Linked DNA regions of Elephas maximus indicus. The protein of the gene in region 1 purifies or fractionates together with the protein of each later gene. This does not show direct contact. Links are inferred from orthologs where the notes say so. Each region holds a gene or a part of one and is shown on either strand. Other genes may lie near its edges.

Region 1 (8,120 bases):
TATGAGTTGGAATTGACTTGACAGCAGTGGATCTGGTCTGGACTGCTCAGCTGAACAGTAACCTGAGCTCTATGCAATTCCAGGATTTCAACTGCCCAGGTGCCCAATCACACTTCAGTTCGTCATCCAGTGCCTTGGGACCTTTCCTCAGTTTGGCAACCAAGTCGATGTTTGCACCATGGAGACCATGTAAAGGACCAGAAGTAAAAATAAGCTGCCAGCCAGGAACACTTTTCTTCACTGGCAGCAACAAGGACACCCAGACCTGATTTACAGTACAACCTCACAGCAGTGACTTCACTAATGCAATGACATCACCTAGAACTTCCTCCCTGAGGGGATTCAGACAGGGCTAGAGTGAGGGAGCTTTCTCCTGTCTTGCAGAATCAACTCCCTAATTTCTCCCCTCCAGAAGTTCAGCGTCCAGCCAGCCAAAGGAGTGTCTTCTTTTCCCTCGTTATTTCCAACCACACTCTTCAGTTAAGGCATGGAAAAGGGAGACAAAGGACAGGAAACGTCCAGGTACAGGAGAGTCGGCTGCGAGGATTATGTGAAACCCATGCCTGGGACTCATTTCTACACGACTCCTCTCTATTTCACGTGAGCACTGCAGAAGGCAAGTCGGCTTAGTCTGACAAATCTGGCTGTCTTATTTATAGCAGGGAGAGGTCCTGCAGAGGTATGTGTTGGCAGACACACTGACCAATGGCTTCTGCTACTATCTCTAAGTGACAGTACTTTTGTTCAGAAGAGCCAAGAAGGCAGGCCACGGCTAGTGAATGTACCCACTACCCCTCCCCCAGAAAGGCCACACTGAGCTACCTTCTTTGTGCTCCTGTGGCCCCAGACAGAACTCAGCTCAGAAGGCAAGTCCAATTCCCCCGTCTCAGCTGCATCCTGGGCAAGTTACACTCTCTGCCTCGTGAACAGTGAACCAAGGAGGGACTCTGCCACAGAACAGTTCATTTCTCTCTGTAATGGTCTCTGCAGTTGTTCCCTCTTAGTCTGGAGTCACGTGCAGCCCCTGATTAGGTTTCCTCTTGTCTCACTCCTGCCAGCCTGCAGCATACCTCTCCACTGCTCCAATCTGGGGCAGGCAGAGCACTGCACTGGGAGTCCCAACTTAGCCTCCAATTGCTGATCCTTTTCCTTCACAGAAGTCCTATTTCCTTCAGATGGCATGAAGTGGAAGTGTCAATCACTGTGCAGAGGGAAGGTGATAATGCTCACCAGCCCCAGCCCCCAGCCCAGTGAAACTTCAGGTGGCACTTTCCCAGACTAACTGGTCACCATTGTGGGCAAAGAACTCTTCCACCTCAGTGGCAAACATGCAGACTGGGGAGCTGACCTGGCACTGGCTGCACATGCAACTCTGGGGACACTAATACAAATCCCCACACAGAACTGCTCCCTGGCTTTCTATCTGCCCTGAAGAGCCCTTATCGGCCAAAACTCAAAGGATTCAGGCCAGGTCAAGGGAGGAGGAGAGGCCAGCAGTTCTGCAACCTCAAGTTTTTGCAGGGAATTGTATTTCAATCGCCCTGCTTTTTTGGTGGGCATGTGAGGGGCACAAGCCCATAGTCACTGACCAGGCAGATGCTTTAACAGTCCAGTCCCACTGAGCAGAACCACACACACAGTAGAGTGACAGTGGCTTCACTCTTTATGCAGTCTTCCTGGGTTCCAACCCTACCTCCACAACTTATTAGCCCAAGGTCACCCAGTTAGCAAGTGATACTAGGAACTCCACCCATAAGATGACAGGCTCCGCGTTCTTAACCCTTACAGGAGGCTCCCACTACTGGCTTTTGGGGCAACATGCTGCCTTGATGCCCCTCTCCGTGGAGGTAGGGACTTGCCTAGATAAGTCCCAGGGTTCCCTGAGGTCCCAATTTTGTAGGCATAGCTTCTACTTACCGTCAGCCGGCTGCTGGAAGTTGACGTAGGCATAACCCAGGGAGCGGCGGGTGATCATATCGCGGCAGACCCGGATGGACAGCACAGGCCCCGCAGGACTGAACTTTTCATACAGCATGGCCTCGGTGACGTCCGAGTGCAGGTCACCCACGTACAGGGAGGCCATGGGGTAGCTGCTGGCTGCAGCGTTCATCTCCCCGCCCCCCACCACACCGAGCCCCGCCAGGAGGACTTCTTCTAGGGATCACCACAGCACAAAAGGGGCTCTTCTCGGAGCCGTGGCTCGCGCGGCGGCTCACAGGTGGCAACAGTGAAGCCAAGGGGCGTTGGAGTAGGCTCAGATACACAGAAGACGGAAAACAGGAGTTCAGGGACAGCTCATAGAAGACTCTGCAAAACCTCAGACAAAAGGCGCTCAAAACAATATGGCCCTCCCTGGGAGTTTGTAATTTGCAGCTGTCCTGGTTTGAACCTCCAAATTTCAAAAAAAAATATTAAAATGGGGAATCCCCTTCCAAATTCTAAAAATTCTTCAAGAGGCAACCAAATGCTGCCCACAGCGGCCTTCGGGAGACGCGTTTCTCTATAAATATAGGCCCCGGGCTCCTGGCGGTTTAGGATTACAACAGCCAGGAGAAGAGGGAAACAAAATATTTGTCGGTGCCGACTCGGCAAGCCCCAGGCGGGCGTGCGTGCGCGCGCGCAGCCGCCTCCCACGCCGGGCTCCGCGAAGGGCAGCGCGGACACGTGGTGCGCCGGGGAGGCCGGCCCGCGGGGGGCGAGGGCTGCCGGCGGGGCCGGGCGGGCGCCGAGGTTGCCACGCGGCGCGCGCGGACGGGCAGGGCCGGGCGGCGGGCAGCACGGACGGACGCGCGAGGGTCAGAGCGCAGGCGCGTGGACGAGGGCAGGCCCGGGCAGGCGGCGGGCAGGCGGGCACGGGCTGCTCACCACGGGACCGACAGACGGAGGCGGACAGACGCCAAAGTGCGGCGGCGGGCGAGGGGCAGGCCGGAAGCGTGCAAAAGTGACTTCCCTGCGGGTGCTCCGAGGAAGATTCGCGTATTCTTTTTTTTTTAAGATTTTTAAAGCGTTTCCGTTTTTTTTTTTTTTTTTATCTTTTTTTCTTCAGGCTACTGGGCCCGAAAACAACGTAGACAGCGGCGACCCGGGGCGGAGAGAGGCGGCCAGCGGAGCCACCGCTCCATTTATACCCGCCCGCCCCGGGCGCTGCTGGTCGAAGGGCGCCTCGCGACCTGGGCGCAGCCGTGCCCGCCCACTCGGCCCGGGGGCCCGAGGCGGGGCGGCCACGCGAGAGCGACCCGGCGGCCGCGCGGCGCCACAGCGGCCCCTAGCGCGTGGAGGACCGCTCCCGCTCCGAGCTTTCACCAACCCCAAGGGCAACTTTTCATAATAAATAGATTATAGCCCCTCTCCACATCATCCGGGAATGGAATCCATAGATAATTTAACCACCCATGCGCATAACGTTTAAAAATCAATGTATTGCCTAATTGCGAAATTAAGAAGAAATAACAATTTATAATTTAAAAAATAGGTTCAATATGTAAATGTTTGGTCCAGAATACATGAGAATATATACTGAGTTCTCATAATTCTAGGACTTAAATGTAGAGTCGTTGGCAATGCTACAGCTAGAAAGACTTGCTTCCATGGGTGGTGTGATTTTCTGAAAAGAACAAGCTTTAGTACAGCGTCAATAAGACAAAACTCAATCACTCTTTGATTTACGTGGTAGTGGCGTGTCTGAAAATTTAGTTTACATTTAAGAGTGCAAAAATACTTTCTCTGTAAAAGAGGTTAGTATCTAGACTTAGATAATTATAAAAAGACTTTTCATCTGCATGAGGGTCTGTTAGGTCATTGAAAAATCATGTGGGATATGGAACGATTCTGCATCATGTGATACTGTCCCCATGCATTGCAAGCTACAGTGAAACCTGTGAGATCCAGAACTCGATGGAACTGCCTTGTTTTTATGAGTCTCACAAGCTTTCCACCTTTGACAGGGTGCAGTCTTACCACTTTTTTATTGCTCTCTGTTAGTGGAAAATATTTGAGTTTTCCTTCTCTGACAGGTGTCTGCCGTACACAGGTTCTGACTTTCGCAGGCTTTACTGTATATAGCAACCATTCCTCCATAAGTACAGGGAACTCCTTTCCCCATCATTATGACAACCAAAAACAGAAATTATCAGTAGGTGCACACACTCTTGCATTGAAAATGTAAGTCAATGAATATGTAAGATGAATGTAAACTGATGTAAGTAAAGAAATGAAAAAAACATATATACTCATTTGTTCAAATAAATAGTTAATCATGGCCTTGTCTATGCCAATGCTGGAGATAGGTGCTGGGGGATACCATGGGAGTCAGGGCAGTGGGAGTCCCTCTCTTCCTCATGGAGTTTATATTCTAGTGTATTAAATCAAGAAACATTTATGAAGTGCTCCTTCTGTAGATAGGTACTGTCCTTAGCAAAGCCTTCCCAGACCACCCAGTCTACAGTAGCCTACCACTGTCATCTATGACACTATCCCGTTGGCCTGTTTTCAAGGCATTTATTGTTGTTAGTTAGGTGCTGTTGAGTTGATTTTCAACTCTTAGTGACTCCATGTGACAAAGTGCTGGGTAAGTTCAAACCCCCAACCTTTTGGCTAGCAGCAGAGCACCTAACTGTTGTGCCACCAGAGCTTATTAAGGCTCTTATCGGTTGTTGTTGTGTACCACTGAGTTGATTCTGAGTCATAGTGACCCTACATGACAATGCAGAACTGCCCAATACGGTTTCCTAGGCTGTACTAATCTTTACAGGAGCAAGTCTTTTCTCCTGAGAAGCTGCTGGTATGTTCAAGCCAAGGACCTTTTGGTTAGCAGCCAAGTGCTTAACCATTGTGCCACCAGGGCTCCTTATAAGGCTTTTGTTATTATGTAAAATAACATTGTTTATATATGTTCTTACCTGTTCAGTGTCTGTCTTTCCTCCAGTGTATACAAGCTTCATGATAGCAGGGACCTAGAACAATGCCTAGCATGGCACATACTAAGTGTTCAATAAATATTTGTTGAGTAAACAAATGAATTCTAGGTACTAGTGAGCAAGAGAGAAACAGTCCTTGCCCTCCTGAAGCTTACTCTCTAGTAGGGGAACTTACTACGTGTATGACATTGAGCAAGCTCATTCACATCTCTGACCCTCAGATTCCTAGTCTGTAAGTATACTAATAAAGGTATTCACTTGATGGAGTTATGAGAATAAGCTAACATATATAAGTCGCTCGTGTAAATGTTAATTGTTATTATTATCAAGTTGCATGTGTGCTGACAGTGGAGTTACTTAAGTGAAGACCCTGAGTGGAGGAGTATTGCTGGAACAAGGGAGCAAGACTGTGGTGTTGTGGGAGGCAGGAAGGACAACCAGCTCTTGGAGGACTTGAAACACTTAGGACTTTATCCTGAGATTGGAGGATAGAGCTGAATATTGTAAGCAGGGCAGTACCTTGGTTCAAATTGTATTTTTTAAAGAATATCTCTGGCTGTACCCCGGATTTCCCGTGTCCATTCAACCAGCTCCTGTCCCTTTATGCCTTTTCATCTCGCCTATCAGTCTCATGTATCTACGTGAACTACGAAGCACGCACCTCACGAGTATCATTTTAAGTCTTATAGTCCAGTTTAGTCTTTGTCTGAAGAGTCAGCTTTGGGAATGGTTTTAGTTCTGGGTTAACAGAGAGCCTGGGGGCCCTGTCTTCTGGGGTTCCTCCTCTCAGTCAGACCAGTAAGTCTGGTCTTTTACTAGAATTTGAGTTCTGTACCCCACTTTTCTCCTGCTCCATCAGGGACTCTCTGTTGTGTTCCCTGTCAGGGCAGTCATTGGTGGTAGCCAGGTACCATCTAGTTCTTCTGGTCTCAGGATGATGGCATCTCTGGCTTATGTGGCCCTTTTTGTCTCTTTGTGCAGCCAAGAATTTTGCAGTACAGTGGAATTGTAAAAGCTCTGGCTACTGGATTCATTTGTTTGTTCACTCATTCAACAAACTTTATGTGGTTCATACAGAGAGCCAGGCTCTGCTATGGGTGCTGTGGACAGAACCATGAGCTAAACAATCACAGAACAACTTGACCTTATTGAGGACAGCGATAAGAACCAAGTAAATAAATGACTGTGTGTGTAACTTGTGCAAAGTGCTTTTAATCAAGAGACTGTCTAGAGGTAAGAGCAGGTGAAACCCAGCCCATCCTCCCAGCAGGAGATCGAGTCTACCTACAAAAGCTCTATTTTCTATAAGCAACAATGGCCCTGACCCTCAGGAAGGAAGACCCTTCCTTGCCCACAGACAGGTCTTTGAGATCCTAGAGGGTTAGTCCAGGAAATAAGACAGGCTGCACAACTTTGGCAAGTGGTTGTCACATCTCTGAGCCTCCCCGATCTGCATGACAGGCTCGGTAAATCCTTTTTAGGAGAGGGGCCAACTGACACAAAAAGGATTGTATCAGAATACTATGAAAAATTATACTCCAACAAATTTGAAAACCTAGAGGAAATGGACAAAGTCCTAGAAACACATTACCTACCTAAACTAACACAAACCAAGATAGAAAATCTAAACAGATCCATTAACAAAAGAAGAAATTGAAGAGGTTATTAAAAAAAAAAAAGAAAAAAAACCTACCAAAAAAAAAGCCCTGGCTTGGATGGGTTCATTGGAGAATTCTATCAAACATTCGGTAAGAGTTGACACCAGTACTAGTGAAACTATTCCAGAACATAGAAAAGGAAGGGATACTTCGGAATTCATTTTATGAAGCCAAAGCCAGGCAAAGACACCACTAAAAAAGAAATTTATAGACCAATATCCCTCATGAACATTGACACAAAAATTCTCAACAAAATTCTAGCCAATAGAATCCAAGAGCACACAAAAAATAATACATCATGACCAAGTGGGATTCATACCACATATGCAAGGATGGTTCAACATCAGAAAATCAATCACTATAATCCACCACATAAATAAAACAAAGGAAAAGAATCACATGATCACCTCAATCAATGCAGAAAAGGCATTTGATAGAGTCCAACACCTATTCCTAATGAAAACTCTCACCAAAAAAGGAATAGAAGGGAAATTCTTCAACATGATTAAGGGCATACACACATAAACAGCCAACATTATTCTCAATGGAGACTGAAAGCATTCCCCCTAAGAATGGGAACCAGACAAGGAAGCCCTTTATCACCACTCTTATTCAACATTGAATTGGAAGTCCTAACTAGAGCTGTAAGACAAGAAAGGGAAATAAAGGGCATCCAAGTTGGTAAGGAAGAAGTAAAACTATCCCTAGTCACAGATGACATGATCCTACAATAGAAAATCCCAAAGAATCCACAAGAAAGCTACTGGAACTAATAGAAGGATTCAGTAAAGTGGCAGGGTACAAGATTAACATACAAAAATCAGTTGGATTCCTTTACACTAACAAAGAGAACTCCAAAAATGGAATAACTTTTACGATAGCCCCCCAAAAGATAAAATACTTAGGAATAAACCTAGCTAGGGACATAAAAGACTTATATGAAGAAAACTACAAAATGTTACCGCAAGAAACCAAAAGAGACCTTCATAAATGGAAAAACATACCACGTTCATGGTCAGGAAGACTTAACATTGTGAAAATGTGAATACCACCCAAGGCAATCTATCTAAAAAAAAAAAAAAAGCCTGTTGCCATTGAGTCAATTCTGACTCATAGCAACCCTATAGGACAGAGCAGAACTGCCCCATAGGGTTTCCAAAGAGTGCCTGGTGGATTCAAGCTGCTGGCCTTTTGGTTAGCAGCCATAGCTTTTAACCACTACACCACCAGTGTTTCTAAGCCATCTACTGATACAATGAAATCCTGATCCAGATTTCAACAACAATCTTTAATGAGATGGAAAAACTAATCACCATCTTTATATGGAAAGGAAACAGACACCAGATAAGTAAAACACTACTGGAAAAGAAGAGCAGTGTAGGAGGCCTCACACACTACCAATCTCATGAACCTACTGTACAGCCACGGTAGTCAAAACAGCCTGGTACTGGCACAACAACAGACACATACATCAACGGAACAGAATTGAGAACCCAGAAATAAATCCATCTACCTATGAACACTTGATCTTTGACAAAGGGTTGAA
Region 2 (7,139 bases), on another chromosome or scaffold:
GGCAAAGGTTCATTTAGGGCCATCTTAGAGGCTGCCTACCACACCACTTTAAGGAGCAATACCCTGACCTAAGCTAAAGCTTTCTGACATCACAGTTGCTGTTAAATAACCATGTTTTCAGAGGTCTGGAATTCAGGCAAACAATTTGCAGTAAGAGAGATACCTTGGTTTTGGGTGGTGATCCTCTGTCCACAAAGAAAAAGGAGAAGGTATAAACTAGAGTTGACAGTAGAGATTCTTTTGGTTTCCATTTGAATATAAAAGCAGAAATCAAATTTTTAAATTGTGTTAAACATATATGTAACAAAACGCTGGCCATGTCAGCATTTTTTACATGTACAGTTCGTGAAATTAATCACAGTCATCTTTGTTCAACCCTTATGACTATCCATTTCCAAATTTTTCATTACCTTTAATAAAAGTTTGGTGGCCCCTAAGCAATGAGTCCCTGTGCTAGTCATCTACTGCTGCTATAACAGAAATACCACAAGTGGGTGGCTTTAACAAAGAGAAATTTATTCTCTCACAGTCTAGTAGGTTACAAGTCCAAATTCAGGATGTTAGCTCCAGGGGAAGGCTTTCTCTCTTTGTCAGCTCTGGAGGAAGGTCCTTGTCCTCAATATTCCCCTGGTAGAGTAGCTTCTCAGGTGCAGGGACCCTTGGTCCAAAGGATGTGCTCTGCTCCCAGTGTTCCTTTCTTGGTGGTATGAGGTCCCCAACTCTCTGCTTGCTTCCCTTTCCTTTTTCTCTCTCTTGAGATAAAAGGTGGTACAGGCCACACCTCAGGGAAACTCCCCTTACATTGGATCAGGGAGGTGACTTGGGTAAGGGTGGTGTTACAATCCCACCCTAATCCTTTTAACATAAAATTACAGTCACAAAATGGAGGACAACCAGAGAATACCGGGAATCATGGCCTAACCAAGTTGATAAACACATTTTGGAGGACTCATTTCAATCCATGACAGTCCCCCTTTCCTCCTCCCTCCTGCTCATTTGCCTCTAGTAACCACTAGTAAACTCTGGTCTCTCTATACACTTGCCTATTCTAGATATTTCATATAAGTGGAATCATACAATATTTATTCTTTTGTGTCTGACTTACGTCCCTCAGCATGTTTTCAAGGTTCATCCATATTGCAGACTTCATTTCTTCTTATAGCTGATTATTATTTCATTGTTTATGTATGTACCACATTTTGTTTATCCATTTATCTGTTGATGGATATTTGTTGATCCACTTTTTGGCTATTGTGAACAACGCTTAACTCAACATTGGTGCACAAGTGCCTTTTTGTGTTCCTATTTTCAATACTTTTGGGTACACCTGGGAGTGAATTATTGCTGAATTATTTGCTAATTCTTTATTTACCTCTTTGAGGAACCACCAAACTTTTTCCCACAGAAGCTGAAGCAGAATATCACATTTTGATGATAAACTCTCATATCTTCCTGGTGTTAATGCAAAGTGGTACAGCCAGTTTGGAAAATATCTTTCCAAAAAGTATCTTTAAGAAGTTAAATATAAATGTACCATAACCAAAAACCCAAGTCCATTGCCATCGAGTTGGTTCCGACTCGTAGGGACCCTATAATTTACCATGAAAAAAAAAAAACCACCCAGCAATTCCATTCCTAAAACTCTACCCAAGAGAAATGAAAACATATGTCCACACAAAGAAATATGTTCATAAATGTTCCTAGAGGCATTATTCCTAATAGCCAAAAACTAGAAGCAATCTAAATGTCCACCAGTTGGTAGATGGATAGATGTACAAAATATGGTTCATTCATGCAATGGAATACTACTCAGCAATAAAAAAAAAGAGTACTGATACATGCTGCAACAGGGCTGAACTTCAGAAACATTGTAAGTGAAAGAATCCAGAAACTAACGACTGCATACTGTTGAGATTCCATTTATATAAAATGTCCACAATAGGGACATCCATAGAAACAGAAAGTAGGTTAGTCGTCGTCTGGGCCTGGGGGTGGAGATGGAGAGTAACTGCAAATGGCTTTGAGGGATCTTTTTGGGGTGATGGAAATGCTCCGAAATCAGTGGTGATGATTGCACAGGTCTGTAAATTTACTAAAAGTAAAAAAATCAGACACTTAAAATGGGTGAATTTTATATTATGTAAATTATACCTCAAGGAAGCCATTGCAAAAATTGCACTGATAATGGATGGGAACTTGAGCTCTCTCAGCCTACATGAAATCAAGTTCAGCTATGTCAGCTTCAGGCCTTCTTATTCTACTTCCCTTTTTCTTTCCGTCTGCCAGGAGTCTGATGCTAAGATTGAATTCTGAGAACTTAGTCCCATATATTGCTGTCAAATAATTAAATCAACGAAAGTTGATTGTATCACTATTGTGGTTCTTTCTTTTTCCATCTGGTATTTTATTCTCAATTTCTTTGGGTTAATTTTTAAAGGATTTGTAACTGTTGGTTTAAAGGAATAGCTTAAATGGGGTGGGGGGGAGGGGGAGCTGACTTCCTAGTTTTCAAATGTTTGTGGAATACAAGGATCATTTTTACCTGGACTATCTAGGAGATTAATTTCATTTTGGCTATTAGAGATACCTGGCTTAATCATTCCCCCAAGTTTTTCCATATCTTTCTCTTTATCTGGACAACTCTAGGAGACAGAGGGGAATTTTGTTGCTTTTTTCCCCTGTCATTTCCTGAAATAATTTCACTTTTAAACAAACTAGATTCTTCACTGGGGGGGGGGGGGGGGAAGTCGTTATCTACTTGCTTCCAGCTTAATTGCAACATATGTAAAGAACTGACTACTGTGCTGGCTGGCGCCCTAAGTTAAAGTAAAACTTCTAAAGGGGCCAATGTCTAAAGTTCGCACATTCTTGTGAGGTCTGTTCTGTCTCCACTGAAGGAGACCCTATTATCCATAGCGCTACCAAATCACGTACATTTCCTTTTGAGTCTTATGAATGGAGGAAACGAAGTTCAAGTGAGGGGTAAAAAATGGGTTCAGACGAAGGTCAGGTACCCAAAAGAGTTTTCTGGTTACCGTGTTGCTGGAGTGGAAAAAGTGGGGAAAAGGTAACCAGATGTGGGTGGCCCCAAGAGGTTGCTCCAACCCCATTAGTTAGTCTTGGCAGGGAAAGTGAGCGCGGCCTGCCTTTGGGCCACCCAGTGCCACTTGAGGGCCTACTGTGTGCCAGGCACTGTTCGAGGTGCTTTCTACGTAGCACGACAGTCTCCGCCCTGCAGGCGCTCGCAAGCCCATTTTCTAGGTTGCATCAGGTGGGGGCCCACAGGGCTCCTCCAAGGAGTCTGAGGACGTTGGAGGAACACTCGGGAGGAGGGGGCCACTTTCCTCCTGTCCCCTGCACTAGGCCGACCCAGCAGGCGAAGACCGACACGCCCTCGCAGGAGGCCAGACCCGCCTCGAGGAGGGCGGACCCAGGCAGGGCCGGACGCCGGGCCCTCACCCGACCCTCGCAAACGCGCCCCAGCGCAGCGCCCGCTCCTCACGTGTCCCTCCCGGTCCCCGGTCGTCTCACGGAGTGCTTCCGCCCGACCCTTCCGACTTCCGGTAAAGAGTCCCCAGCTCCGCACCTCCGCGCCCACCCGGCACCGCCACCCAGTGTCTCGGCGTGCCCGGCCTCGGATGCGGTCGGCAGCCGCAACAACTCGGAGCCCCGCGGCGGCCGTCGAGCCTCGCCGTTTCGCCGCGGTCAGGTGGCCGGGGCGGTGCTCGCTCCCGCGGCCGGCGCGGCGGCGCGGGCGGGGCGGTGGCGGCGCGGCCCCGTATCCCTCCGCCGCCCCTCCTCCGCCCGGCCCCGGCCCCCCTCCCTCCGGGCAGCGCTCGCCTCCCTCCGCCTCAGACTGTTTTGGTAGCAACGGCAACGGCGGTGGCGCGGCCCGGCTCGGCTCCCGGCGGCTCATCGGTCTCAGCGGGCCTCCCCGCCCCTTCGTCGTCGTCCTCCTCCCTCTCGCCGGCCCCGGCGCCCCCCCGGCCGCGCCAGCCCGCGCCTCCTCGCTCCGCGCCCGCGCGTCCCCGCCGCGCTCCGGCGTCTCCTCGGCGCGCCCGGCTCCCGGCTGTCCCCGCCCGGCGTGCGGGCCGGTGTATGGGCCCCTCACCATGTCGCTGAAGCCCCAGCAGCAGCAGCAGACCGCGGCCGCCAATGCCCGCAAGCCCGGCGGCCTCCTCACGTCGTCCGCCGCCGCGCCGGCGCCGTCCTCGTCCTCGTCCTCAGCCACCGCGTCCTCAGCCGCTGCGTCCTCCTCGGCGGCGGCGGCGGCGGGCGGCGGGCGGCCTGGCCTGGGCAGGTGGGTGTCGGCGCCGAGCCCCCTCTGCCCGGGCCTGGACGGCCGGGCCTCGAGTCCCCTCCCCCGCGGCGCCTTTCCTCCCGTGACCGGCGGGGCCCGGGGGGTGGGCTGGGGGCCCGCGGTGGGGGCGGGGGCCTCTCGGGCTGGAGCCGAGGGGCTGGAGGCTCCCACGGGGCTTCTCGGCGATTGTCAGGCCGCGTCCAGTCTCTTGCACCATCCCCACCCCCTTCCCCAAACGGTCAAGATGGAAGGACCGGGCAGCCGCCTTCTCTCGGTTTCCACGCTCGGGGGGGTTCACAGGTCTCCGCAATTGTCAGCCCCGGTTCCGCCTTCTCTACGCCTCCCTCTCCTCGTGGGGGGGGGTGCTTGGGCAGCACCCCCACCCCTAGTTTAAATGTTGATGTTGGCGGGGTCCTGGAGCTCCCGAAACATGTCTTCTCCACCAGTGGGGAATTTCGGGGGAGGGGGGATTGGACAGCGTCCCCTCCTGTTGAAGGGCGCATCTGGGATCGCTGGGGTCTGTCCGGTCTCCCTTGACGCCCCTCTTCCCTGGCCTGGAGACGGTCGAAGGACGGGGCGGAGGGGTGGGCAGTGGCCTCCCGCCCCCTCCCCATTGAAACCTGCGATCGTGGGGCTCCGGGCCGTCCCGGGCAGCGTCCTCCGTCCCCTACCTGGGGCAGGGGTGGGACGGCCCTCCCCGCAAGGCCTCTCCTGCCGGGTGGCGGCCCAGCCGCATTGCTGTCGGAGGCCGCCGAGGAGCAGGCGCCTTTGAACAGGGTGGGCGAGGGCCGGGCCCCGCCGGGCCGCTGCGGGAAGCGGGCCGCTGCGCATTTTCTCACTACCCCCGCTTCAGTCGCCGGAATTTCGAGGGAAGAGGAATTGCCGCGGGGGCATGAAGGGCTCCTGAAGCAGAAATGCGGGTGTTTACTTGCGACCCCCGCCCCCTCCCCCTAACTCAGGCTTGTGGTGGGGGCCCGGGGGCTCGGTGTGCTTTCAGCGAACTGGCTTTGACTCTGGAGGGCGTGTTTGCGTGGGAAGGCCTGTTGGGGGTGGGGGGTGGCTGTCAGTTCGTATTTCATGAAGTAAGAAAATGCTTAGTGTTCAAACTGGGCAGCAAATGTCAATAGACTCCATTCCATTGTGGCCGGTGTCCTTAACTTGGGGAGTGCCGCCAGAGCTTACCAAGGGCACACAAGTCCATTTCCCCTGTGCCCCGGGCCCCTCCGTGGTGCAGGCACTGCCATGCCTCCCTTAGGCCTAGGCAGAACTGGCAAGGCCAGTGACCATTGTCCTCCTTAAATAGACATACTGGTCTTTCAAAGGTGGGCTAAGGGAGTTTTTCATACACTGAGTTTTCTTTTTGAAAACAAATTTTCAGCGAAATGTAAATACTCGTTTACAGCAGGCGAACTTTACCTATCCAGATGATTCAGAGCTGGTTTTTAAGGAATTCTCCCTTCAGAGGGGGGACAGTCACTTTTTTGGCTTCTCCTCCCCACAGTCCCACGGTTTCCCCTTCTCTGAAGCACCCACCAATGCTGCCTAGCCCAACAAGTTCAAATGAATGATAGTTTCTGCAGCTCTATACACTTAGCATTCTGTAACTTCAAGTTTCCCTTTTTCAGTGGCAATGATAGTGGAAAACATTTAAAAGATACAGTTTTATAGAAGAGGGTGCTTTTTTTTTTTTTCTTTTTAGGTTTTAAAGGTAGAAATATGACAGATACCTTGTTCAAATAATTAAAAATTAAAACTAAAGGTTTTAAATTGCATTTGCCCTCCCTAGGCTTAAGCATTACATTATTCAGAGTAGTTTGAATGGTCAAAGATAGCTGAAATGTTTTAGTAGTACAGATCTTTTTCTGTTCCTTAAGGCTTCATAAAAACTTAGAGTTAATTTCTTCCTTGCTTTAAATCCTTTTATTTGAGGTATAAATTGTAGCCTTTATTCTTTTTCCTAAATATGCAAAGTTTTGTTTAATGTGAAATTCACATAATGTGAAATTTTACTCTTGAGCACATCTTTAGTTAATGTACTTGTAGAGTTGCTTTTATGAATCACCTTTACTGGGTTCTTTGTAAACCAGTTACAATATCTAGAATCTCCTCACTTAACATTTGAATGCATCAGTGGTAAAATAAGTTTCTGAGCAGGGGTAAAGGCAAAGAAAAAAAGCATCATTGGGTTTGACATGGTTAAAAGGAGCAAAATATTCTTCAAAGCTTTGAAATTCATGTCTGTTTTAAATAGCATAACATATCATCAGATTTGATTTTTACTTTTTTGGTGAATAGTGGATTTTTATGGCCTTTACAAAATGATTTGTTCTGTCTTTTTCACATACTTTTGAGAAGGTGGATTTTTTTTTTTTTTAAGGAAAGAACAATGTAGCTACAATATTAAAATTGGAAAGTAATTTATTTTAACCCAATTTTTATTTTTGCCTTTTATTCTTCAGTTCTTATCAATGTATTTTTATGTTCTTGCATTGCTGATTGCATGTTATTTGTATTTAGCTTTTTTTTTCGTTAGTATTGATATGTATATATGGTTTCTACTCGTATTGTTGGCATTTGGGTTTCCGCTTTTTTGTTATTATAGATAATTGTGCAGTGAACATCTTTACACTAAAGCTTTTTTGCTTCAGTGTAGTTATTTCCTTTGAGAAAGTTCCCAGGAGTGACATTACGAGGTCAAAGGGCTTCAAGATTTTTACGGCTCTTGCTCACTGCCGAATTGCTCCTCAGAAGATTTGTATTAATTTCCAGTGCAGAGAAGGTGGATCTTCTTTAGAATGGCTTCTTTGTAGTTTGTCAAACACTGGAGGGCATTTTGAAG
Region 3 (7,238 bases), on another chromosome or scaffold:
GAATGGCTAACCTTAAACAACAGAAAATTCAAAGTACTAAAGAGGAAGTAAACAACTGCAAATCACACATACTCAGAGTGTGTACTGGAATAATCTCTATGTAAAAACTATAGTATTTGGTAGGTAGTCTCTAAGTTCCTTTGAAGCGAGGATGGCACAACTTCCTCTCACATACTTTGGACATGTTATCATGAGGGACCAGTTCCGGGAGAAGGACATCATGCTCGGTAAGTAGAAGGGCAACAAAAAAGAGAAAGATTCTCAATGAAATGGACTGACACAGTGGCTACAACAATGGGCTCAGACATAGCAACAATTGTGAGAGTGGCACAGGGCCAGGTGGTATTCATTCTGTTGTATATAGGGTCGCTATGAGTTGGAATCGACTCAACAACACCTAACAACTAAAGCTGGGCATAGTGCTACCCCGTGACCCAGCAATTCCACTTCTAGGTATATAAAAAAAAAAATGGAAATAAGGGCATATGTCCGCCAGGGCATGAGTAGGAATAGCAGCACTAATCGTAACGGCCCCCAAACTAGAAGCTGGCTAAATGTTCATCAACAGACAAATGGATAGACTGTGGCATATTCATTCAATAAAATGCTATGAGGCTAAACCACCTAATTACATGCTACAAAATGAGTAACAAAAAGAATATATACTGTATGTTCCCATTTATGTAAAGTTTGAGAGCAGCAAAACTAATCTGTTCTATTAAGTCAAAATAGCAGTTACACTTGGAGAATGGTAGTCATTACCAGGGGGCTTCTGAGGTGCTGGTAACATTCTGCTTCATGATTTGGATGCTGGTTACCCAGGTGCTCACTTGGTGAAACTTTGAGCTATACCCTATACACTCTATTCTATAGTTTTATATGTTAAAAACTCTGACCCTTTGGTTAGCAGCTGTAGCACTTAACCACTATGCCACCAAGGTTTCCATTCTATATGTTATACACTTCAATAAATTTAAGAAGATATGAAAAATAGGAATTATGCTATAGTATTATCGATTATTTCTTCAACTTAGGAGCATGGTTCCTGCCCCACTTAATTTCTCCTCATTTACTCATTTTGGTTTACTTAGCATGACGGATTCCTTTCTACATATTCCAAACTGGGCTTTGTGCTTTCTTCTGCTGTTTAGAAAAAGTTTGACCATTTGTAAAAAAATTCTTACACTGTCAAAGGTTAATCTGAATGTTTAAAAATTCTTTATATCTATTTAAACTTTATCAAAAACCCATGCGACATTTCTGCATACAATAGGTATGTAGCACCAGAAACACTTCCATTTTAAGATGACAGAATAATAATTACTAAAAACAAGGACCCAGATGTGTACTTCTCACCCATATGTGCACTTCTTCACATTCAAAAGCCTACCTCAAAATTAACTTAAGCAAAGCCACTATTTAATTTATCCTAAAGCCACTAGTAAATATTCACTTATCTTACAAAAATCAAATTAAAAATCAACTTTGTCAGGCTACTATCTTGTAGTTGTCCATAAGTCTGGAAACGGATTCTAGTTTTACAGATTGACAATTTCCTTGACATCAATTAGGTTTACTTGCCTATGCTGGCAAAACAGCACTGAACAAAACCACAAAAAAGTCCTATTGTCAAGCTTACATTCTGAGACCATGAATATAATAACTACAAAGTTTTGTTTCCTCATGAATTCATAATAAAGCTACGTAAAATACAAAAAGCACCAACATACCGGTTAATAATCACATTATTCCAGTTAATGTTAACCCCGAGTTTTAGTAAAAAGGAGTACTTACTGTATAATTAGAAGAATAACCTGATGGGTAAAATTCTGGGGCGTTCACAGACAGCTTGGACATTAACACAGGAGCTACAACCACCTGGGGTTTGGCCATTGCTGACTCTGAATTCTGCTGTGGGATTTTATCCTGTGAACTAGGTGGAGCTCTCAGGGGCCTCGCTTGTTCTGAGAAGATAAAAAGGAGTGTTAGATTCGTTCATTCTTTTGTGTAATGACTTTGTATATACTAAAAAGTCATCTCTTTTAACTCTTTAAGAGTTTAAAAATCATCACGAAATGTAAGGTCATCTCCGGGATACTCACAAAGAGCCTGCAAAAAGGAACAATAGACTTGGCTGTAGCTCATTTATGAGCGTTACCTGCCTCCCAAATGAATGCTTGAGGGTTTTGGTTTTTCTTTTATTTAGGAGCCGTTTCAAATGCAGTGGTAGCTCGGCTTACGTCTTACTTTAGAGGACCGGGCAGGGGGAGGCAATTTTTATTTCCTCCCCTGGGTGGCAGAACTCCGAGACCGCGCACCGGCCCCTCCCCCAGCCGGGGCGCACAAAGGATTCCAGTGGCCACCTTCCAAAGCCCCGTCCCGCGCCCATCCCCACCCCGTAACACCCGGGCCCCTCGGGGGATGCTTTCGGGGAATTGGGGGGAGGGGGTGGAAGGAGAGTCCGCCGGCCCTCGGCGAGCGCAAGGCCCGTGGGGAGGCGTTGGCCCGGGAGGACGGGGTTTCCCTAGAGCTCCTCCGTACCTGGGAGCGCCCCGGGCCGGGGAGGCCGCTGGGGGCCGGTGGGGCCCTCGCACTGGGCCCCAAGCGGCGGAGCCGTCCTGGGCTGGCGCAGCGGCGGCGGCTGCAGGAAGCCCGGGGCTTTGGGCTGCGGCGGCGGCTGCTGGCGCGGCCGCTCTGCAGGCCCGGTTCCGTTCGGGAAACTGCCGCCCTCAGGCCCGCCCCCTCCGCGGCCCAGGCCCCGGCTCCGGCCCCGACCAGCACCTGGGGCCCGATCGAAACCGTCCGACATGCTCCTCCTCCTTCCGGAGCCGCTGCCGCTGCGCTCGGAAGAGGCCGCGGGGGAAAGCAGCGCAGGCCGGCTCTTGCCGCTGCGCTTCACTCGGGCCTCATGGAGGAGGAGGGCGGCGGGCCCCGGCTCCGCTCCTGCGCGCTTCAGGCGGAACGGACGGCAGGCTGAGCACCCGCGACTCCACAGCGCCCGCCCCCCAGAGCTACCCTCTGCTTTTATTCTCCCCTAAAATCCGGCGCCACCGCCTTCGGCGCGGCGGGGGCGAGGCGGGTCACAGCGGCCCCCCGCGGTCCGGAGGCCCCGGGGCGCGCCCGCTGCGATTCCTACTGTCCCGCAGGGCAGGCTGCTGCGGTCCAGCAGGCTGCCCGGCCAGCGGCGTCTCGGCCGCAGGACGTCCCTGCTGGGCAGCGGGGACCGGGCGGAGGCATCTCGACTCCCGGGGCCCGGCTCGGGGGGGAGATGGGGACGCTTACCCCAGTTAGGCCCGATCTATTCGATGGTTCTCAGGAGACAAGTGCGAGACTGACGGTTGATGCCAGGAAAATAAAAATACGGGGGGAGGGGGTGTGGCCCCGGCGCCAGGGTTCGCGGACGCGCACCACCGTGGGCGCGCAGGTGTGTTCAATGACCAGGCTCCCGCCGAGAGCCCAGGACTGGCAGGGAAGCCGAGCTCCGGAAGAAGCTCTGCCACCTGCTTCGTTAGCAGCGGGGGAGGGGACTAGTACGTTCAAAATACGCCCCCTACCCTTTTCAGTTCCCGTTAGGTACTTACCTCCGGAAGGGAACCCTGGTGGCTCAGCGGTAAAACGCTGGGCTGCTAACTGAAAGGTGGGCGGTTCGAAGCCACCAGCCGCTCTGTGGAAGAAAAAAATGTAGCAGTCGGCTTCTGTGAAGATTTACAGCCTTGGAAAACCCTACGGGGCAGGCCTCCGCTTCCTTACAGGGCCAGAATGGATTGGGCCGCGGAGGATTTGGTTTGGTTTGTCACAAGCTTCAATATCTTCCCTTTTCTCTGCCCCTCCAGAAATTTTCAGAAAATACACTACCGTTGAATGAAACTCTTCCTTCTTTTTATATGCTACCAATGTTGTCCGATAGGCATATAATGCAAGCCATTTGTGTAGTTTTACATTTTCTAGAAGCCACAAGCAAACAAGCAAAAACAAACAGGTGAAATTAATTTTAATAATAAATTTTAACCCAGTATATCAAAGATATTATCATTTCAACATGTAACACTAATGAAATGTTCTTACTAATTGAAACCATATGTGTATTTGGACTAGCGTCCTTTCAAGTGCTCAGTAACACGTGACTAGTGGCTACTGCATTGAACAGCGCAGTTCTAGGTATTTAAGTGTAAAATGATATTTTTGTCAGGCCTGATGGTGCTAAAGCCAAATGAAGGGTTAAGTAATGACAAAAAAAAAGGGGGGGGGAATCCATTTTCCTTCTGTTGGATTATCCACCTCCACAAATTCTAATCGTTGCCTTGTATTTTAAGCATAAACTGTAATACTCTTTACAGGACAGAGAGATTGATTAGGAAGAGAAATAGAAAAACCCTGGTGGCGTAGTGGTTAAGTGCTATGGCTGCTACCAAAGGGTCACCACTTTGAATCTACCAGGTGCTCCTTGGAAACTCTAAGGGGCAGTTCTACTCTGTCCTGTAGGGTTGCTATGAGTCAGAAGCTGGGTTTGGTTTTTTGGAATGATGTTTTTCAGTCTTTTCATTTGACAATGATTCCAATTAGGAACAAAAAATTATGTTAACCACTTTCTGTTCTTGCTAATAAAAAAAATTAAAGTCTTGATCTAAATGAATGAGAAGAATGGCTTTAATGAGGATAATTGTGAGTAAATTAGTCATGCTGTTAATGTTAGCCCAAAATAATGAAGTCAGGGAAGGAAGGCAGTATGTGGTTTGTAGGTTTTAAAGTCTGCTGCAGCTTCAGATGAATCTGGGTCTTGACCATTACTGGCTGTGTGATCTTGGGTAAGGGATTTAGCTTCTGTAAGCTGGTTTCCCCATCTGTAAAATAACTATCTTATAGCACTGAGCATGTATTACAAATGCTAGACTGACAAGCTTACAATTTTAAAATTACATGACTTGATGCTCAAAGTACTTTAACATCCATTATTTTATATGGTCGTCAGTCTCTTCTTGCCTGGACTTCTGTGTTACAAAGGAAAGACTCAAGCTGTATGCTCAAAAAGAGTGAGCAAACGAGCATCACACAACACTCAAGCCACCACAGACAGATGGGTGGTGACTGTGCCTTGATACTCCTTAGAAGTGAGAATGGCAAAACGTTGTCTCTCGTACTTTGAACATGTTATCAGGATTCAAACTTGGATCTTACTCGTGGAAGGCGACAATTCTAACACTGAATCACCACTTACTGAATGTTTATTGTTGTGTGTCAGGCACTGTTCCAAGAGCTTTATTTGTATTATTTCATTTAATCCTCACACTCTGTGAAGTAGACTTTCTGATTATCCCCGTTTTACAGAAGAAGTACCAAGATATCATGAAGCTCAAATCCACCTGCAGACTGATATAGGGCTGACTAGCAGGTGTTAGGTATTGCAAAATGCCAAGAGGCCACACACACAGACACATTAAAAAAATATAAGCACTGTATGGAATCCCCTGAAGAGAATCATCAAAAGATCTCCTCCCCTACCTTTATGTCTTTCTTATTAATGTGTAGTGAATAGGAAGAATAAATTCAGAGAGTTCGGAAAATATATTGTAAAATGGGAACAGGACCACTGTCAACTATGGGAAAGATTTCCTTCTTTCAGCTGGTCATGAAATGTTGCTCTGCCTACTTCCGCGAGGAGGTCTATGAAATTTTCCAATTCCCGAAGCCAGATTTGTCTCTGCCTTTACCGCTCTGGAGGCTTTGACTTTTAAGAGAAGAACTGGTAGTATTAATACTTTAACTTATCCTCCATTCAGCTGCTGGATGATCTTTCTACAAATCATATCTGATTATGTCACTTCACTGCTAGAAATCTTTCAATAGCTCCCCATAGCTTTCAGAATGAAGTGAAACCCTTACACCCAGAACAAGACCTTTGCCTTTCTCTCTAGCTTAATCATGTGTCACTCCCTCACATATTCTCCCCCTACCTCCTTTTAGCAATGCTTGCTAAACTATCCTCATGTCCGTAGCTATTTCATGCCTTCATGATTTTTATAAATGCACCTTGCTGCCTGGGAAATCTTACCTCTTTCACCTCTTAACCTATCGGGCTCCACTTAAGTGTCCTCCTGGAAGCTTTCCTCAAGCAGCCCAATCTTAGATTCCCTCTTTTTTGATACTAGCACCCTGGACAAACTCTGTCTTAGCACTTAGTATACTGGATTGTTAATATTTGGCTTACATAACGAGGTCAGAGAATGCCTTTTAATCTCTATGCCCTCATATCCTAGCCCAGTACTTGGAACATAACAGCTTTTAACTGTAGTAGGACCCACTTGCGAAAGTCCTGACTTGACTTGGTTTACCAGTATAGTGAAGGTAGAAGGAAGACTGGTTTTCAGAAACCTAGGAGAACTTAAAGTGACTTCAGGATTAAATCTTGTAGGATTAGACAGTGCAGCCTTATAAGTCCAAAAGGTGTGAGAAAGTTTTCATACAATAAATATGGAGTAAAAATATTTGCAAACAACATATTCAACAGGACATATCTGGAGCATATCAAGAACTTTCAAAACTCAACAGTAAAAAAAAAATTAAATTTGAAAATGGGCAAAACACATGAACAACCATTTCACTGAAGAGAACATACAGGTGGCATTTAAGCCCATGAAAAAAAATTTAACATCATTAGGGATTAGGAAAATAAAAATGAAAACCACAATGAGACTTCACTACTCAACTATCAGAATGGCTAAAATAAAAAATAATAACACCAAATGATTTCAAGAATGTGGAGAAACTGGATCACTCATACATAGCCGGTGGGGATGAAAAATGATACTATCACTCTGAAAAACTGTTTGGCAGCCTCTTAAAAATACTAAACATACAATTACCATATGACCCAGTGATTGTACTCCTGGGCATTTATCAGGAGTATTTAGGTTCACACAAAAACCTATACACAAGCGTTTATAGCAGCTTTATTCATAATATCCAAAGACTGGAAACAGCCCAGATGTCCTTCAAATGGATGATTACACTGTGATACATCTATACCATGGGCTACTACTCAGCAAGAAAAAGGAACAAATTGATAGAAACAACAACTTGGATGGATCTCAAGGGAATTATAGTGAGTGAAAAAAGAGCCAATCTCGAAAGATTAAGTACTGTATGATTACATTTCTTAATAATATCCTTGAAATGAAAAAAATTCTAAAAATAGAGAACAGATTAATGATTGCCACCGGTGAAGGACAGAGTGGCGTTGA
Region 4 (7,823 bases), on another chromosome or scaffold:
CTCCCTTTGCTGACCCTGCCCCTCCTTTTCCATCTCAGTGTAAAAAAGCCTCAAGTACAAAAGATATCAGGAGAAAGATAAGCAATACAATCCAAGTTCTTCCAAAAACTCAGGAGAAAGATAAGCAATACAATCCAAGTTCTTCCAAAAACTCAAGGTCTTTGGAAAATCAAACACAAAGAGGAATAAAACTGCACATCCAAGTGTGTTAAATGTTCCTTCCTAGTAGGCACTGGGTTGGGCTGGGTTAGTAAGGATTAAATGAAATAACTCAAGGGACCATCTCTCCCCCTCATAAAAAGACAGAATAATGTTTTATAGATTAAAGAGCACTTGCATCTTTCTTCACACCCATAAGCCGGATGAGCAGGTATTATGCATCCCGTTCTGTGGATGGAGAAATGAAGACTCAGGAGGCTGCTCAAAGTCATTCAGCAAACCAAGAAATGGGGCCCAGGTTATAAACCAGTTCTCCCAGCTCTCTAGTCCCTCATTTGGCCTCCTCTGTTTCTCCTCAGGAAATTGTCTACACTAGGGGCAAAGAAGCACACAATTAATTACAAGTAGGTATTTGGACCCACTTTATCATTTTTATTTTTTTGGTTTGATTTTGTCATTGTTTTTTAAGTCCTGGCCACAAGCCAACTTGTTTCCTTGTCACTTTCTGTCTAAAGCATATCTTATCTTACCTTTTTCTGGCCTGAGGTCACATATTGCTTAATTACTTAAGTCCCCCCAGTTAGAGTTTACCTTTTAGAGAGACAGCATTCGACTTTTTAGTATCTTCCCCAGGCCTGAGTAGTTAATGACTTCATAAATACTTGTGGATGTGACAGTAGAGGGAAGGGAGGTAGTGTGGTGTTGTGGGTAAGAACAAGACCAGGGGAGTTAAACCGCCCTGGAAAAACCTTACTCCGATACTCAGCTGCTAGCTGTAACCAGGCACCCTTCTCACTTTCTTTTATGAACTTCAGTGGCCTTCCATTGTAACTGAAGATAATAACAGCTCCAGGGGCTGGCCTGGTGCCTGACACCTAGTAGAGGCTCAATAGATTAAAAAAAAAAAAAAAGATACTTTGCAATAATTAATGCCTATCTCATTAAGTATCTTAGTTTTTTAGTGCTGCTGTAATAGAAATACCACAAGTGGGTGGTTTTAATGAACAAAAATGTATTTTCTGGCAGTTTTAGAGGGTATAAGTCCAAATTCAGTGCACTGGATCTAGGGGAAGGCTCTCTTTCTGTTGTTCTGAGGGAACATCTTTGCCTCTTTCAGCTTCTGTTCCTTGATGATCTCCAAGTGGCATTTTCCTTTCCCCTTTTTGCCTGCTTGTGTCTACTCTGCTATTTTTATAACTCAGAAGTGATTACTTTTAGGACACACCCTACACTGATAGGGCCTTATTAACATAACAAAGAAAACCCTATTCCCAAACAGGATTACAAGCACAGTGGTCAGGATTCCAACACATATTTTTTTTTTAATTGTGCTTTAGGTGAAAGTTTACAGCTCAAGTTAGTTTCTCATACAAAAATGTATACATACATTGCTATGTGACCCTAGTTGCTATCTCTGTAATGTAACAGCACACTCCTCCTTTCCACCCCTGATTTCCTGTGTCCATTCAACCAGCTCCTATCTCTTTCTGCCTTCTCATCTCACCTCTGGACAGGAGCTACCCATTTAGTCTCATCCAACACGTATTTTTGAGGGGCACAATTTTATAACATTAGGTAACTGTGAGGATTAAATGAGATAATGAATATCAAGTATTTCTCACAGAACATGCCATATAGTAATTGTTCAATATAAGTCGTTAGTTGCCATCAAGTTTATTCTGATTCACGGCGACCACTTGCATTCCGAGAACTGTGTACGTCATAGGGTTTTCAAGGCTTTGACCTTTTGGAAGCAGATCACCAGGCCTTACTTCCAAGGCACCTATGGGTGTCTTTGAATAACCAAGTTGTCAGCTGGTAATGCAGTGCTTACCCATTTGTTAACACTCTTAATTATTTGGTCATTATTAATATTTAGAAATGAATGCACTCATGGAATGACATAATGGGCCAGGAATCAAATCACCTGAATTCAAACCCCAATTCCATCATTTTGTGTAGAACAGCTCCGTGACTTAGGATCAAGAGATTTGGGTGTAAGGCCTGGCTCTGCCACTGACTAGCTGTGTGAGCTTGGATAAGTAGCTTCATTTCTCTGAACTTCAGTCTCCTCAACTGCAAAACAAAGACATTAAGCAATCATTAAGACTCCTCCTCTAACAGCCTCTAAATTCAAGATGTAGTCTCATGTAGGTATCTTGCCTTTTCTGGGCCCAGTTTGCCCATCTGTAAAATGGCGCATCGGTGTTTAAGGGCCCCTCTCTGGGGCAAGCCTGGGGGTGTATGGATCTCTGTGCCCTTCCAGTCTCTACATAACAGGGTCTGGCAGTGCTTGTTTGGCTCCAACTCTGACTGCTGGGTAGCATGAACCAGTTACTTGTCCACACAGAGACCTGGCCCCCTTACAAGTTGTTTGGGGGCCATCCATGACCAACTACAGAAATGTTGGAAGAAAGAGCCAACAACGATGACTATGTTCCTTTTTACAAAGTTCAGAGAGGTTTTGAGTGAATAATTTTTTTCAGGAAATATTTATCAATAAATAAGGGTAGGGAAACTCTGGTGGAGTAGTGGTTAAGTGCTACGGCTGCTAACCAAAAGGAAGGCAGTTCAAATCCACCAGGCCTCCTTGGAAACTCTATGGGGCAGTTCTACTCTGTCCTATAGGGTCGCTATGAGTTGGAATCGACTCGATGGCACTGGGTTTGTTTTTTTTTTTTGTTTATTAAGGGTAGACTATGAGTCGGAATCGACTTGACAGCAGTGGGTGGTGGAAGGATTAAGGGTAGATATAACACAATTTTGAAGAATGTGCTTAGATTGTGATCCCTTTAATCCTTACCTTCCTTGGTACCTCTTTTTGAAGCATTTCATTTGCTTCCTCAAAAAAGCCCACAGGGTGAGAACAAATCAGGCATTATGTATTACAATTTTTACGCCAGGAAAGGGGGCTCCAGGCAAATGTACAGAGCAAGTGAAGGCAGGTGCTAAGTTATGGGAGAGCTTGGCTATCCCCACCAGCACTTCTCCCCAGTACTCCTGGTTACAATGTACAACCGAGACTTCCCAGGTGGAGCAGTTACAAGAGTCTTCTCTGATAAATCCTCTCCCCTGTCCAGCAGGTCATGTGTTCTTATTTTGGAGATCAACATTCCTGGCTTTTATGTCTTAAGTAGGTAGATCTCAGCTCTGTTAAACCTGGACCACCCTCAGAATGCACAGGACACAACTTCTCCAAGTGAGGCATGGGACCACCTGGTGTAGAAGTTCTAAGGGTATTATGTTAGACAAACAGATTTCTGGGTTCAATTCCAGACCATGCCTGATTTTTCTAAACACTTTGGAACCTGTGTTCAGGGAGGTGTTCCCTCATCAAACTAGAAGGACAAATCTGTTCTAGCCTATTACTACAGTTTATGCATTAATTCTACACAGGAACTTGTTTATCATTTTTGTCTTTCCCCACGTTTAGAATGTAAATTGCTCCATGAGGCCAGGGACCTTGTTAGCCTGGTTTATTACCAAACCCTGTTTCCTAGCACTGTAGAGACACCCAGAGCACGGAGTGAATAAATATTAACTGAATTGAATATACACTAAAGCATGAAACCACTGTCATAGACCATTTCTTCATTTTACAATAGGGAAACTGAGGCCTACGGTGGGGGAAACTGACTGGCAGAGTTCATAAGAGGCAAGACCAGGACAAAATTTCAATCCCTAGAGTCTCGAATCGGCACTAGTTCAACTCCTCCCAAAGCAACTATGTAGAAACCACAATCCACTAGAAAGAAAAGCTGTTTCCTGCTCACAAATACTCAGAGGCTTGACTGGAGTGAGGACCTTGGTAATTCCACTCCCACATCCTAGGCACCCGAAGCGCCCAAGGGCAAGGGCCCGCCTGCCGGGCCTGGAGTCGAACCCGGTCCCCCGGCAACGTCCGGGTCAGCCTGGAGGGGAGAAACCCAGCGCAGCCGGTGGAGTTGAAAGCGGTTTGCCCAAGGTCACCCATGCGGGGCCTGGAAAGGCCAGGATAGAGGGATGCGGAGAGGGGGCGGTGTAGGCGCGACTTTTGGGAGGATGCGGACCCTCTACCAGCATCCTGGGAGGCGGGGGTGACTTTTATGGCTCCTTCCCCCGAATCTGACACCCAACCTAAAGAACGAGAGCAGGCCGAGCCGGCCGCGTGGCCCATTCGCATGTGCTCCACCTGCGGCCTCTCTCACGCGCTGGCCCTTTAAGAGTCCTCCGTGTTCTCTCCCCCGTCTCTCCTACCCCCCCTGGATGCGCCCCCCTCTACCGAATTGCATCAGGCACGTGCTCGCCCCCGTCCTGTCTGAGCGCCCCCACCCCAGCCAGGGAGGTGCACGGAGGACTTGGAGGCGAGGGGCGGGGCAGGACGAGGGGCGGGGACGCGAGGCCGTTCGCGCGCGCGCTCCCGTCGCCTCCGCCGGCCCGTCGCCAAGGGCTGGCCTCGGCGGGCGCGCTCCCGCTGCGTTGTCCCCTCCCCTCGCCCGCCGCGCCGCGAGGCGCGCGCCCGCCCGCCGCCTGCCGCGGATCGCGTGGTCTGCTTGGCTCGCCGCGCCTCTCCCCCGTCCGTCCATATTGCTGCAGCCCCCGAGCCGGGAAGCCCGGGCCGCCCCGGGGGCGGGGGGGAGGGAGGGACGGGACGAGAAGCCCGCTGAGCTTGGGGTGGGGGCGCCTTACGAGGAACGGGCGGGGGGGGGACGTGCGCCGAGGCGGCCTGGACCGCAGAGTGGGGGGCACTCCTTCCCCCACCCCCCCCGCCCCGCCAGCGGGCCTTGGATCTACGGCGGCCGCATCCGACCGGAAGGGGGGGCCGCGCCTAGCGTGAACCCCGACCCTTTTCTGCAGGGACTGGGGCCCAGCGCCCCGGAGGAAGGAGTCGCGGGCGTTCTGCGAGCCAAGTTCGAGGCGGGGGAGGCAGCCTCGGGCGCGCCCGGCTTCTCCGGGGGGGCGGGCGCGCAGATGGCCACTCAGGTGGAGCCGCTGTTGCCGGGGGGCGCCCAGCTCTTGCAGGCCGAAGAGCACGGGGGGCTGGTGAGGAAGAAGCTGCCGCCGCCGCCCGAGGGCAAGGGCGAGCCTGGCGCCAACGACGTCGGAGTGGGGGAGCCGGACGGAGGCACCCGGAGACCCCGGCCGCCCTGCGCCAAGCCGTACAAGGAGGGCACCGGGCAGCAGGAGCGCGAGAATCTGCGGCCGCTGCAGCCGCTAGGCGCCGAAGGCCCGGCCGTCAGCGACGGGGAGGAGGGCGGCGGCGGCGAGCCGGGCGCTGGCGGAGGAGCAACCGGAGCCGCGGGCGGCGGCGGACGGCGAGACTTCGTGGAGGCCCCCCCGCCCAAGGTGAACCCGTGGACTAAGAACGCGCTGCCGCAGGCCCTGGCCACGGTGAACGGACAGTCCCCTCCAGGTGGGTCTCCCAGCCTGCTATTCTGGGTCCGGGGGCCTCTTCCGGGGACATTGGCGTCCCCTCCCCCAGCGGTTTCCAGGGCCCGGGGGTCCGCCACGAGTCGTGGTGCCTCGTTTTTTTTTATTTGAATTGTCTCACGCCTCGTTCGGGTCGTGGTGCCCTGCTCCCGCCGCACACTCGGGAACCTGTTCCTGCCTGAGGCCCGGCCTCCCGGAGGCCACGGACACCGCCTGGGCCGCAGCGGTTAGTGGGCAACGGCGTGGTCCGGGCCTACCTCACCGGGAGAGGGTGGGCGCTGGCTTCGGTGAAAATGGCCCTGTTTTCCCCATCGCATGTTGGTGTAAAAGGCGGTTTCTGGTTTAAACCTCCCTTACTCGGGAAGCCCCCTCTTCTCACTCCGCCCCACGCTCCCCGTTTTGGTAGCGTTGCAATAGTCCCCATGTTGTAAATGTTTAATGAGCATATGTCATGGGCAGCAAAGCACTCAGCGATGAGTTCACACCGAGTATAGGGATTCGAGATTTAAAAGTTAACAAGTTTTGTTTTCGAGTAGATGATAGTAGGCGGTAGAACCGCCATTTGGAGACGGGTTGAGGGGTCAGTTACAGGGAGAATGGGGCGACGAGGAAACCCAACGTGTCACTGACTTCGGTAGTTTCCCTCTCGGATCCCAGGGGCCTTCCGCCTTGAGAGGGAGCCGATGGCAAATGCGGGGGGATCCGTTTAGGGGGTTGGCGGAAAATGTGAGACGAGTGAGGGGCACGCGGCGACACGAGGGGCTTGCGGCGGCGGGGGAGGGAGTGGCCGGGCTGGGCGGGCGGGTGACAGTTGGGCGCCATGCGCCTCGCCCGCGACTCGCGGGCTGCTTGCGGCCGCACGGCCTCTGCGTTCCGCGCGGGTCGTCGCGCTCCGGGTGACTGGCGGGTGCGGGCCGCCGGCGCGGCGCGTCCTGTAGTGTGCGTGTGCGCGAGTGTAAGTGCGCGTCTCCCCCTTCCCGGCATTCCTCCGCAGCCGGGACAACGTGGTGCCTCCCCGCGCGGGGAGCGGCATGTGACCGGCGGCCGGCGCTCCCGGAGCTGGGGCCCCGAAGCTGGGGCCCCGGGCGCACCCCGAGTCTATCCTTCCACCTCCCTTTTATTTTTTTCTTTTTGGACACTGTCCTTTCAGAGGAGTGTGCAGGAAATCCCAGCAGAGCCTCGTCAGCGTGAGGAGAGAAGCGGTGCAGAATATGGAGCTTGCTTTTGGCCTCCTTTTACCGGGAATAGATCTTCAGCTTGAATGGGGCGCACTTCCCGTCCCCGCTTTGCTGGGACTCGGGGGGCACAGTGGGCCTCGATTCTTTAATTCTGGGCCCTTTTGATGTGGGCCAGTGTTAATACCTTGTTTGCAGTTAGAATGATGGCCTGTGGCCTTAGCCCTAGTGTTCTTTCAAAACTCCGTTTCAGAGTGCTGGCTGAGGCAGTATGGTTTAGAAGATCAAAACGGGGAAAGTTGAAGGGGGAGCTTTATGCCTTCATATCAAAGGGAGTAAGATCACTCCTTTAGTCTTAGGGAAATTATGATAACCAAACCTGAAAATGGCATGTTGCAATTTTTATTTTTTTCAAGGTTGCTTCATTTAGGGGAGGGGACATTTAGGGTTTACTAATAATGCCTCAAACCATGTTCTCTTCCTTTTGCCCTCCTCCTCTTCCCCCATGCCCCTTCTAGAACCCTCTTATGCAAAGGGCAGTGCTGAAACCTCCATTTTCTTACAAATCCTTCCCTGATCCACCCACAGAGGGAGGGAGAGCAACTTTAAGACACTCTTTGGTCCCTCCCCGCGCCCCCCCCCCCACCTTAAACTCAAAGGGGTATAATCATCCCCAGGAGAGAGAGCACTCTTCAGAAGTTTAAATTGGGCTTCTCACCTCGGGCTGCTGCTTAGCTAATGGTGAATCTGCCTTGTGGCTTTTAAATCAGCCGTGATATAAGGTGGTATTGAGTGCCTGAGCTGGCATTTTGTGTAAGTCCAGGGGCCCTTGATAGGTCACTGGGATTATTGATTGTGGGAAGAAGACAACTTGGTTGGCATCTTGCTTTCCCCTCTGAGTGGAAGAGCAGACTTGTTTGAAGTACCCAGAGCACAGTTCTGAGTGGGGTAGATTTGCCGTGTTCTTGTCTTCCTGGAACTTTAAGGCAAGAGTGTTGATCTTGTACCTTTGGGGTAGTGTTTGACAGATTAACTCCAAATTAATCCAGTAGCCTCTCTGTTTTAAGCCTGTTGTTAGGG

The links.
Region 2: the proteins of PABPC4 (region 1) and ATXN2 purify together in Homo sapiens (affinity purification with mass spectrometry; 4 studies listed by BioGRID and IntAct, with this or other methods). This does not show direct contact. The link is inferred for Elephas maximus indicus from reciprocal best matches to the Homo sapiens genes PABPC4 and ATXN2.
Region 3: the proteins of PABPC4 (region 1) and PAIP1 purify together in Homo sapiens (co-immunoprecipitation; 3 studies listed by BioGRID and IntAct, with this or other methods). This does not show direct contact. The link is inferred for Elephas maximus indicus from reciprocal best matches to the Homo sapiens genes PABPC4 and PAIP1.
Region 4: the proteins of PABPC4 (region 1) and LARP1 purify together in Homo sapiens (affinity purification with mass spectrometry; 3 studies listed by BioGRID and IntAct, with this or other methods). This does not show direct contact. The link is inferred for Elephas maximus indicus from reciprocal best matches to the Homo sapiens genes PABPC4 and LARP1.

What each region holds. Positions count from the first base shown.
Region 1 is NC_064821.1:81,201,611-81,209,730, forward strand, and holds the start of PABPC4 (polyadenylate-binding protein 4), read right to left. Parts: upstream 3,151-8,120; 5' UTR 2,111-3,150; coding exon 1,918-2,110; intron 1-1,917.
Region 2 is NC_064840.1:9,932,560-9,939,698, reverse strand, and holds the start of ATXN2 (ataxin-2), read left to right. Parts: upstream 1-4,026; 5' UTR 4,027-4,112; coding exon 4,113-4,300; intron 4,301-7,139. UniProt on the Homo sapiens protein: Involved in EGFR trafficking, acting as negative regulator of endocytic EGFR internalization at the plasma membrane.
Region 3 is NC_064820.1:49,996,046-50,003,283, forward strand, and holds the start of PAIP1 (polyadenylate-binding protein-interacting protein 1), read right to left. Parts: upstream 3,059-7,238; 5' UTR 2,810-3,058; coding exon 2,542-2,809; intron 1,965-2,541; coding exon 1,795-1,964; intron 1-1,794. UniProt on the Homo sapiens protein: Acts as a coactivator in the regulation of translation initiation of poly(A)-containing mRNAs. Its stimulatory activity on translation is mediated via its action on PABPC1. Competes with PAIP2 for binding to PABPC1.
Region 4 is NC_064820.1:170,907,409-170,915,231, forward strand, and holds the start of LARP1 (la-related protein 1), read left to right. Parts: upstream 1-4,823; 5' UTR 4,824-5,109; coding exon 5,110-5,551; intron 5,552-7,823. UniProt on the Homo sapiens protein: RNA-binding protein that regulates the translation of specific target mRNA species downstream of the mTORC1 complex, in function of growth signals and nutrient availability.